Linked DNA regions of Xenopus tropicalis. The main gene of each other region encodes a partner of the protein of the gene in region 3 in a complex. Links are inferred from orthologs where the notes say so. Each region holds a gene or a part of one and is shown on either strand. Other genes may lie near its edges.

Region 1 (3,518 bases), on a different chromosome or scaffold from region 3:
GCCCCAGCATCTCGTACTTGAATTGGCAGTCCTAAGTTAAGGCACAAAACAAAAATGGGTTAAAGAAAGAATGGGATTCATCATGCAGGAAACAACAATACCCATACAAAAAGATTTTACTAACATCATCTATGTAACAGCAACATGTTAGCAGTCAACTACCCCTTCCACAAATCCTCCTTTGTATTTGCAGCTGAAACAAAACCTGTGTGTGGACAACATATTCCTAAACTTACAATATGGACAAGAGGCAAAATTGAATTTTGTATGAGAGTTTATCATTTACAAATCTTATTCTATGCATTAATTTAGTTTTAAGTTGATTCTCCTTTTCCTGCTCTAATAGGTTTTAAACAATATACATTATAAAAAGGAAACTTCTACATAAATACCACTTTATGTGTTAAAGTGTTACTACATTGTGTTCTGACACAGAACAGAAATTTGTAGTGCAGCTTAACACTGCTAATAAACCATCACCCCGTGACAAATCTTTGTTGCCGCGGACGACTAATCTCCCAGCTATGCCATCCCACCGGCAAGAATGTAAATCGCAGTGAGATAGCATACGCGTCGCTACAATTTGCCCAAGTCACCCAAAGTTGCCTTGAGAGCAAGCTTGGGGCGACTAATCTCCCCGTCTGCCACTGCCCTTAACCTAAGTCAGACCCCAATTAAATTAAAAAAAACCCACCATATTCAAGGTCAAGCAGACAGGTCTGACAGACATTTTTCAACTTGCTGCACGTTTGGCACACTTCGGTCTTCTTAAAGCGCATCCGAACACCAGGACACCAGCGGAACACAGTGAATGGACGAGCACAAATCTGAAAAAAATTTTTTGCTAACATCAAGAAAAACTAGTGTATTAAAGGACTTGAATTGCAATGATCAAAACATCCGCTTATATGCAAATATAGGATAGTAGCTCACTCCAAAGAGGAAACAACTGTGTATGTGAGAGCAGGCACTCAATGAGCAGTGCTCAAGGTATACAACTTAAAGTCAAGTAGATTTATTGAAATACCAACAGCAGAGCTAGCCTACCTGTGGTGAGTTTTATATTAATTTTTCTTTATTTCTGTATAAATCTCACTCCAATGAGGAAAAAATGTATTACAAAAAAAGGATAACAGGAGAAAATGTGTAGATGTGTAATGTGAAGAGTAGAAAAGAATAAAGGAAAGGACCAAAGAGGACATAATTAAGGCTAGAAGTCAAATGAAAAGAAAGGCTCAAGGAGACTATATAGAGGGAAAACAGGAGAAATTCAGAAAATAGGGTTGAGTGTTTCTTTGATTTGTTTAAAGTTAAGACATTGAAAGCAGATACGCTTTAAAAGGAGCTGTGTTAGCACGGAAGAAACTAATGCTTATTGATTCTCCAACACCTATGCATGACAGTATATGTATATCATATAAACCAGATACAGTCACTGCCCTTACTACCTCTGTAGGTAGTACTTTAGGTAGTACTGGCTTTCAAAAATAAAGGCTCTAAAGGTTTTTCCCCCACTTTAAATATGCAACATTATTAAGGACGGCAAATAAATGTCGCCTTGCCCCAAAACATAGTACAGGTATCGGACCACTTATCCAGAAACCCGTTATCCAGAAATCTCCGAATTCTGCACTTCTGTGCTAATAAAATTGTTGTATGCAGTGATCGTGTCATGCTGAAGAGGAATGGAAAGCACACCAATTTATTACCACTTACGTAAAAAACACTAAACTTTTAAGCGCACAATAACCCAATCAAGTGCACCTTTTTACTTTACCTTGCACTCCTTTCCATATTTTTCTTTGGTCTAAAAGAAAATGCATAAAGTTATTTCAATGAACTGAACAAATATTTTATAAAAATTCAAATTATATGCTAAAACAATTTGACATAAGCTGCAGATTTGGCAGTTTTAATATGAGTGGGGGCTGCCCAATTGATATCTGTAAGAAGCATACTGAGCAGATCTAAAAATTGCATCAGCCCACGTCTGCCTTCCTCTCCCAACAGGTGAGCATAGGGCCACGCTATGATCGAATCACTGGTTTAGGAGATCAGATCTGCCTGAATTTGCCAAGTCTGGCCATCCGCTTTTGGGCCAAGATAATGTTCATGAGGAAACTTCACAAAACGAACAGATCTTTTTGTGTATTGCCAAATGAAAAGAAACTGCACAAAGCAGGAGTCAATTGTTGGGGGGCTACGTAGCCCTTCCTAATTGCAACTGCTGCAAAGAATAGCACAATTTTTTTTTCAAGTGACAGTTACAATTAAAACATGAAGTTCAACAAGTATTCATGTAAAAGAACAAATGAAAATAAAGGGATGAAACATGCCACACTTACTATACTTTCAACTTACAATTACATTGAGGGGCAGTTGTTTTTGGCTCTAAATTCTAAAAAAGCAAGAAGGCAAAAGCACATTTTCTGATACATGATTGAGTACCACTGTAATAGCTTTAAAACTAGTCATTACTCTGATTATAAGGGCTCTGGCACACGGGGAGATTAGTCGCCCGCGGCCTCGCGAGTCTTTTTCGGCGATTTGTGCGAAATCACGCTGCTGCATCTGCCATCCCGCCGGCGACTTACATGTTCGCCGGTGGGATGGCAGGGGTAGGCAACTCGGGGAGATTAGTCGCCCGCGAACAGGGAGTTTTGCCGCGGGAGACTAATCTCCCTGTGTGCCAGAGCCCTAAAGCACAGTTCAACACTGGTACCATCTTGGAAACATACTGAACTAAAAGTACAGCCACCCTGACCGATATCTGATCAAGACTCAGACGCAAGTCAGTCAAAAAATTGTATAAGGTGGAGGGCACAACATGCCATTGTCCTCTCCAGACAAGTCTGTACATCACCCCTACGTAAGCTGTTTGCCCTAGGCCCTTCGGGTTCCCAAACTAGGAAAAATAGTCACTTATCTGGGGACATCAAGTTATACAAGATATAAAGATTTGTTTGTATTACAAATATAACATGGCAGCCTTTGTTTAACTAATTAAAAAAGTAATATTACTCAATAATATAGCTTACCATCCTGATGTATGGATTTTCGCCAAGACATGTCTGACACAAAATGGGAAAGTCCTGGAAAAACAAATCAAATACTCATTCCACAAGGAAGATAAATAAAGTTCACTTGTGTAGAGAGCCACAAAAGGCATCTGACTTCTGTTTATCTTTCTGTTTAAGTACTATAAGTGTTGTATTTTTATTAACATTTATTTATAAATGCAGTGCTGTTTAGTAGAAATATATATACACTGAACATACAGATAGCATACAAATACAACAAATAACAATAAAAGAGGTAAAGAAGATCTGACCCAAAAAAGCTTATTCTACACAAATGACATTATCTGTTATATACTGTATGTGTTCCCTTTCGCCCAGTTGCAATAGTTACAAAATTGCTGCTCTGTGGGTTTACAGCATTTTATTAGTATAGCTATATTAGTTCTTAAGTAAACACAATTTTTTGAACAGTGCAGGGTAACAGTACATTACTTTTTT
Region 2 (3,817 bases), on a different chromosome or scaffold from region 3:
CTGTGCTGCCCCTGTGTGTCACATGACTCCCATTGGGGGCATTTCTACTGTAAATAACCGGTCTGTGCTGCCCCTGTGTGTCACATGACTCCCATTGGGGGCATTTCTACTGTAAATACCCGGTCTGTGTTGCCCCTGTGTGTCACATGACTCCCATTGGGGGCATTTCTACTGTAAATACCCGGTCTGTGCTGCCCCTGTGTGTCACATGACTCCCATTGGGGGCATTTCTACTGTAAATAACCGGTCTGTGCTGCCCCTGTGTGTCACATGACTCCCATTGGGGGCATTTCTACTGTAAATACCCGGTCAGTGCTGCCCCTGTGTGTCACATGACTCCCATTGGGGGCATTTCTACTGTAAATACCCGGTCAATGCTGCCCCTGTGTGTCACATGACTCCCATTGGGGGCATTTCTACTGTAAATAACCGGTCTGTGTTGCCCCTGTGTGTCACATGACTCCCATTGGGGGCATTTCTACTGTAAATAACCGGTCAGTGCGGCCCCTGTGTGTCACATGACTCCCATTGGGGGCATTTCTACTGTAAATACCCGGTCAGTGCTGCCCCTGTGTGTCACATGACTCCCATTGGGGGCATTTCTACTGTAAATACCCGGTCTGTGCTGCCCCTGTGTGTCACATGACTCCCATTGGGGGCATTTCTACTGTAAATAACCGGTCAGTGCTGCCCCTGTGTGTCACATGACTCCCATTGGGGGCATTTCTACTGTAAATACCCGGTCAGTGCTGCCCCTGTGTGTCACATGACTCCCATTGGGGGCATTTCTACTGTAAATACCCGGTCTGTGTTGCCCCTGTGTGTCACATGACTCCCATTGGGGGCATTTCTACTGTAAATACCCGGTCTGTGCTGCCCCTGTGTGTCACATGACTCCCATTGGGGGCATTTCTACTGTAAATAACCGGTCTGTGTTGCTCTCAGGCTGCAGCTTTGGTGGAAGAGGAGACCAGAAGATATCGGCCTACAAAGAACTACCTGAGTTACTTGCCCACCCCCGACTATTCCGCATTTGAGGTAATGGCTTTCTCCCTATTCTGCAGCACCCTACACTGGGTGCCCCTCTGCTCTATTCACGGTGGTTGCACATTGGCCAACCAAATGGCTTCCCTGCTAGAGAACTCACCCTGGCAACTAAGAACCTATTGCTCTGTGAGGCTTCAATTTTATTGTTACTGTTACTTTTTATCCAGCCCCTCCCCTATACTCATTCACACCACTGTCTGGTTGCTAGGGTAAATTTGACCCTAGCAACTTGATATCTCTGCAAAATATTAATACTTCATTATTCATTCTGCTACTACTCGTCCTTATGTCTGTCAGTTCTCCAAAGATTGCTTTCATAGTCCCATAACCCCGAGGGGTTTGCATGCACAGAGCCCACCCTGGCACCTACTGGTGCTAATATCACGTGGGTGGGGGGCATGTTCCCTTCACAGAGGAGACCAAGATTCCAACTTTCATTCATTTTATTTAGACTGAAATCATGAGGAACGAGTTTGAAAGACTTTCGTCGCGCCAGCCCCTCGAACTGCTCAGCATGAAGAGGTGAGTGCCGTCTGGTTACTATGGGTTACTGGACCAAGATCTGTGCATTGCTTTACAGCCCTGTGGTTTCCATGTGGTCTCATTGTGCTGAAGGGTATCCGTGGAAATACCATACCCCTCTCTCTGATTCTAGGTATGAGTTACCGGCCCCCCTATCCGGCCAGAGGAACGACATCACCGCGTGGCAGGAATGTGTCAATAACTCCATGGCCCAATTGGAACACCAGGCCGTCCGTATAGAGAACCTGGAGCTCATGTCCCAGCACGGCTGTAACGCCTGGAAAGTCTATAACGAGTGAGTTGGGAACATGGCGTTGGGGGGGGGGGGGGGGGGGGGTGTTGATTTACAGCACAGGATATAGCATGACCCAATGATACTGCCGCCCTTCAGTCACGTGATTCTTCTGTCTCCTCCCAGGAACCTGCTGCATATGATCGACTGCGCGCAGAAAGATCTCCAGAAGTTACGGTGAGACGGCATTAAGCCCATACTAACCATATATATATATATATATATATATATATATATATATAATCCTTCCCTGGCCGTGGGGAAGAGAGCAGCCCAGAAGCAGGAAGTGCAGAGATTTAGAGCTCAGTTCCTGTGTAATTACTGGGATGAGCTTCGAGTTACCTACGTGGGGTAGTTCCTAGCCCTGGGGTATTACTAGCAGTTGCACACTTCCATTTTAACAGCTCTAACGCTTTCACTATTTGTCTTGTTACCGGAACAGGAAAAAGATTCAGGACTTGAACTGGCAGAGAAAGAACTCCCAGCTGACAGCAGGTGCCCGACTCAGAGAGATGGAGTCAACGTAAGTGAGATTTGTGCATTTTGTTCACACCTAGGGTGAACTTATCAAGGGAATACCTACTCCCCTATACTGTATTTCCATGAATGAAGTACACACAGGCTTTGAGTGTGCCTAGCGGGCTGTTCCTGCTGAACAGGGGAATCCCTATGCTGCCATAGTTTTATGGTATCTCTCTGTACAGGCTATGAGCAAACTTAGGGGGCTGTTCCTGCTGAATTGTGCTTAGTACAGGGGAATCCCTATGTGCCATAGTTTTATGGTATCTCTCTGTACAGGCTATTAGCAAACTTAGGGGGCTGTTCCTGCTGAATTGTGCTTAGTACAGGGGAATCCCTATGTGCCATAGTTTTATGGTATCTCTCTGTACAGGCTATGAGCAAACTTAGGGGGCTGTTCCTGCTGAATTGTGCTTAGTACAGTGTATGGTATTTATGGGATGCTAATATTTTAGCTTTAATAGAACTGGTAGTCATTTTCGTCTGTCTCTAACTTGCTTTCTGTGCCGGTTGCAGGTGGGTGTCTCTTGTGAGCAAAAACTACGAGATTGAGAGAGCAATTGTGCAAATGGAGAATGAAGTCTATCAGCTGAAAGAGAGGAGCGGGGAGAATAAGGAAAATATTGAAGATTATTAAGGCCCTGCCCCAAGGATTACAGGTTCCAGGGTAACAGCACCGGTCCTGCTGCAGAGACTCTGGCGCCATGTTGGGCAGCGCTGCTGGGGGTTCTGGTTGCTTTATGGCTCTTCACTCTGGAAATGTAGCGAGTAGTCTCTGCCTGGGTGCTGATAGGCGCAGGGATGGGTCTCCCTGTTTCACCCAAATGCCCCAGTGCTGCCTCGTAGGCCGGGCACATACCGGCTTTTATAAGGAAATTCTGACTTGTTTTTCACTGTAATATTAATAATAAAGTGTTTTCCAGAAATCTTCCACTTTTATCATCCTGTGCGCTCCTGGGGGTCTGTACTGAGCACCCCACACAACCGTAACCCTGGCCTGGGTGGGGGCACACCATTATATATTAGATAGCACCCCCGTCTCTGCACAAGTGCCTGATCTCACCAGAGGGAAATAGGTATGTTCTGAGCTGGGACGGATTTCCCACATGGGCAGCTTCGACAGATAACGGGTCATGTGTGTAACAGTGAGAGGAAATCAGCGTAAAAACCAATGAACTGTCTTCTATAGGCCATAGAGATACAGTGGGAAAGCCTGGCATTGCCCTTCCTCCTGGGTCTCATCTGTTTTTACAATGTTAATATCATGAAGGTGTAACAGGAGCGCCCCCTGCTGTTCTGTGCAGGCGGAGACACAAGCAGCACTGAGCCCAGAGACACTTCCAGCATCAGCAAATGAAACTTTTCCCCTATCTGTCTGGCTCTGACTTGGTGTGAATACTGCAAATAGCATGGAAACTAAAGAAGTAGGGCAGAAAT
Region 3 (3,518 bases):
GGAGTGCAAAAGATTAACACACTCTCTCAGAATTTTTATAGTAAGTGTTAGAAGCAGATGACCAGATATACACAGTAGCTCTAATCAGGCATATTATACTAAATGGATAGATCTGGTAACGGTTTTTGCAGCTAACACTGCCAATTCCTAAAAAGGGCCATGTGTACAATAGAGAACTTAACAGGCATAACATCAGTCAGTAGCATAATGATATCGGATACTTTGTTTCCCATACTGTACATAAAGCCACGACATGTGTCAGCTATTAAATATGACACCACAATCTGTACAAGGTGGAAGCTGGACGTGCCACTTTCTAGCTGTGGAGGCTTAAGGCATGGCATACAGTCTTGCACACTAATCACATGCCATTAAGAGACAATCCCCGCAACTCTAAGTCAATTTATGGGCATACCTCACGGTCCTTGGACTTGGACTTACTTTTATGCAGTTCTATCTTTGAACATACTTTAAAAAAAAAAGTCAATTCAGCACTGTACCTATAAATGTGCGTAAGCATCTTCGGTCTTTGTACACCTCCCAGAGCTATTCAAATAAAAACATAAAATATAAAAAAAAAGTAAAAAAAAAAAAAATGGAAACACCTTAGCAGAACTGAGCATCACAAAATATAGATATCAAACAAAGAAAAATTTCTTAAAGGCAAAGACACAGGTTATTTTAAAGTGTGACCAAGTAAGCTAGTCAAAAAGTTAGTGAAAACATTTAATACAGTGAAACCTCAATTTTAGATACCCTGATTTTAAGTTTTCTTGCTTTTCACATTGATTTTTGTGGTCCCACCAATTTATAATGCATTTCAATGGGTGCTTTTCCCTGACGTCCCCAAAAATGTATGTTTGTCCTTTATAAATATTATTAGTGAAACAAAAGAGTGTTATAATACTAACCAACTGCATATTTTGCAATGTTATGGGGAGATTTATCAACATTTTTTGGATAAAAAAAAAAAACCTCAAATTTAAATTATGTTTCAAGAACTCGAATGTCTGAAACTTAATGAGTGCAAAAAACCTGAAAACTTGAATGTAAAAGTTCGCCACCTAAAAGCTTGTAAGTTACTATAAAAGTCAATGCGAAAAATCATTGCAAAAAAAAAAAAAAAAATGTTTTTTGTTTCAACGAGTTTTCTTTATTAATAAACAAGCAGTTGATATGTACGTTTATTCGATTTATAAAGACAAACTCAAATTCACAAACTCCAAAATTGATAAATAAGCCCATTAATGTCAGTCAATTACAATTAGTCTGCACCTCATATAAACATGCACACACCACTTATTACTTTAGGTTGCGCATCTGACCGTCAGAGAGGTCTTGTAAATCCCTCTGTCCACTGCTTAACCCTTGTCATTCACACACTAGGGGGCTGATTTACTTACCCACGAACGGGTCGAATGGAGTCCGATTGCGTTTTTTTCGTAATGATCGGTACTTTGCGATTTTTTCGTATGTTTTGCGATTTTTTCGGATTCTTTACGAATTTTTCGGATCCAATACGATTTTTGCGTAAAAACGCGAGTTTTCCTATCCATTACGAAAGTTGCGTAAAAAGTTGCGCATTTTGCGTAGCGTTAAAACTTACGCGAAAAGTTGCGCATTTTTCGTAGCGTTAAAACTTAACGCTACGAAAAATGCGCAACTTTTCGCGTAAGTTTTAACGCTACGCAAAATGCGCAACTTTTTACGCAACTTTCGTAATGGATACGAAAAACTCGCGTTTTTACGCAAAAATCTTATTGGTAACGAAAAATTCGTACAGAATCCGAAAAAATCGCAAAACATACGAAAAAGTCGCAAAATGTTCGTTTTCAAGTCGGAACTTTTCCAATTCGGGTCGGATTCGTGGGTTAGTAAATCAGCCCCTAAATCTTGTAAAACTGACTCCCTGTGTTTATATCCTTTAGGTACTTGAAAAATAAGTTAACACATTTCCCTCATTTTAGATTTTCCCAGATTTTACACCATTTTTCCTGGTCCGCTAAAAAAGTAAAATGGGGATTCTACTGTATAACAAATATGGTGAAAAGTTGATATTTTTAGTGGCCAACTATAATGACAATAAGATCAAGCCTTTTTGGAACATGCAAGTTCCTTTTTCAAAGCTGATAAGTTATTTATTAGAATTATTAACAAGATGCGTTGAAAGGCTGTCTCATCTATGTCTTTCATGGTTACATATCCATTTGGCGAAGAGAAATTCTCACCTTAATCTTGCAGTCCATGGAACACGACAACAGCAAATGTCCAGAAACTGGAAACAATCTTACAGCACTGACACCCTGCAAACCAAAAGGTTTTATAAAAAAAGGTCATATAGAAAAACTGAATGCAGTTGAATGATGTCAGAATATAACATTTTGTATACATCCTTAACCCCTTAGATTTTTTTATATTTGTTTTTTTTTATATTTTTTATAACACAAGTGAATTTGAAGGAGAAGAAAAGCCTAAATCACTGAGGGAAGGGGGTGCCAAATGTTTGGAACCCCCCCAGGGTTCCAAACATTCCGGTAGGTATCCAGTAGGTATCACCTACCAGAAACCCTGGGCTGGTGCTCGTGTTAGCAGGAAGCTGCACTAACTCCCTGAGCACCATCCACCTGCAATATCCCCAGGCCGCGCATGCATGGTAGAACAAAAAAGTTGGCTTATTGTTAAACAGGGGGTTTGATCAATGCACATTCTCTGGTCCTGTTTTACTAGAGATTTAGTATCTATGCAAGTGCATGTATTTACAAAAACAGGTGTCTCTCTAGTAAAACAGGGGACAAGGGAATGTGCATTGAACATAACCTAATTTTTGCATGCTTGTACAGTTATGGGAAACCAGTTATCCAGAAAGTTCCGAATTATGGAAAGGAAATCTCTCAGACTCCATTATAAGCAAATAATTCTGATTTTTTAAAATGATTTTCTTTTTCTCTGCAATAAAACAGTACCTTGTACTCGATTCTAACAAAGATATAATTAATCCTTATTGGAGGCAAAACAAGCCTATAGGGTTTATTCAATATTTAAATGATTTTTAGCAGACTTAAGTTATGGAGATCCAAATTACAGATTTCCCTTATCCGGAAAACCCCAGGTCCCAAGCATTCTGGATAACAGGTCCCATACATGTACTAATTTGGCCAGATCCATTGTAATTTTTATTGTACTTCTATAATTTACTTGCGGTTATATTAATCATGCTGTGTAAAAAGTGGAGTGAAGCATTACCGGTGATGTTGCCCAGGGCAACCGACCAGCAATTTGATTTCAACAGTTAGAAAACCAAAGCAAAGCATCTAATTGGCTTCTATGAGCAACATAACCGGTAATGTTTTACTCCGCTTTTTACACAGCATGATAAATATACCCCTTGGAGTGCTCCCACAACCCCCTCCTGTGTGTATTTTTGGGCTTTTTTTGTTGAAGTTCAGCTTTTCACTCTATTGTGCAAAGAAAGAAGAAGCAGGAGAGATATTGCTTCTTGGTGCTTGTTGAGAAGTACA

The links. The genes of interacting proteins can lie anywhere in the genome.
Region 1: cdc40 (region 3) and rbm22 share a complex: the UniProt entries of both Homo sapiens proteins name them as parts of the postcatalytic spliceosome P complex. The link is inferred for Xenopus tropicalis from reciprocal best matches to the Homo sapiens genes CDC40 and RBM22.
Region 2: cdc40 (region 3) and bcas2 share a complex: the UniProt entries of both Homo sapiens proteins name them as parts of the postcatalytic spliceosome P complex. The link is inferred for Xenopus tropicalis from reciprocal best matches to the Homo sapiens genes CDC40 and BCAS2.

What each region holds. Positions count from the first base shown.
Region 1 is NC_030682.2:89,088,391-89,091,908, forward strand, and holds part of rbm22 (pre-mRNA-splicing factor RBM22), read right to left. Parts: intron 3,093-3,518; coding exon 3,039-3,092; intron 1,808-3,038; coding exon 1,778-1,807; intron 828-1,777; coding exon 695-827; intron 32-694; coding exon 1-31. UniProt on the Homo sapiens protein: Required for pre-mRNA splicing as component of the activated spliceosome. Involved in the first step of pre-mRNA splicing.
Region 2 is NC_030682.2:7,012,572-7,016,388, forward strand, and holds the end of bcas2 (pre-mRNA-splicing factor SPF27), read left to right. Parts: intron 1-945; coding exon 946-1,038; intron 1,039-1,498; coding exon 1,499-1,569; intron 1,570-1,702; coding exon 1,703-1,864; intron 1,865-1,987; coding exon 1,988-2,038; intron 2,039-2,303; coding exon 2,304-2,384; intron 2,385-2,896; coding exon 2,897-3,017; 3' UTR 3,018-3,306; downstream 3,307-3,817. UniProt on the Homo sapiens protein: Required for pre-mRNA splicing as component of the activated spliceosome. Component of the PRP19-CDC5L complex that forms an integral part of the spliceosome and is required for activating pre-mRNA splicing.
Region 3 is NC_030681.2:77,413,429-77,416,946, forward strand, and holds part of cdc40 (pre-mRNA-processing factor 17), read right to left. Parts: intron 2,304-3,518; coding exon 2,229-2,303; intron 547-2,228; coding exon 501-546; intron 1-500. UniProt on the Homo sapiens protein: Required for pre-mRNA splicing as component of the activated spliceosome. Plays an important role in embryonic brain development; this function does not require proline isomerization.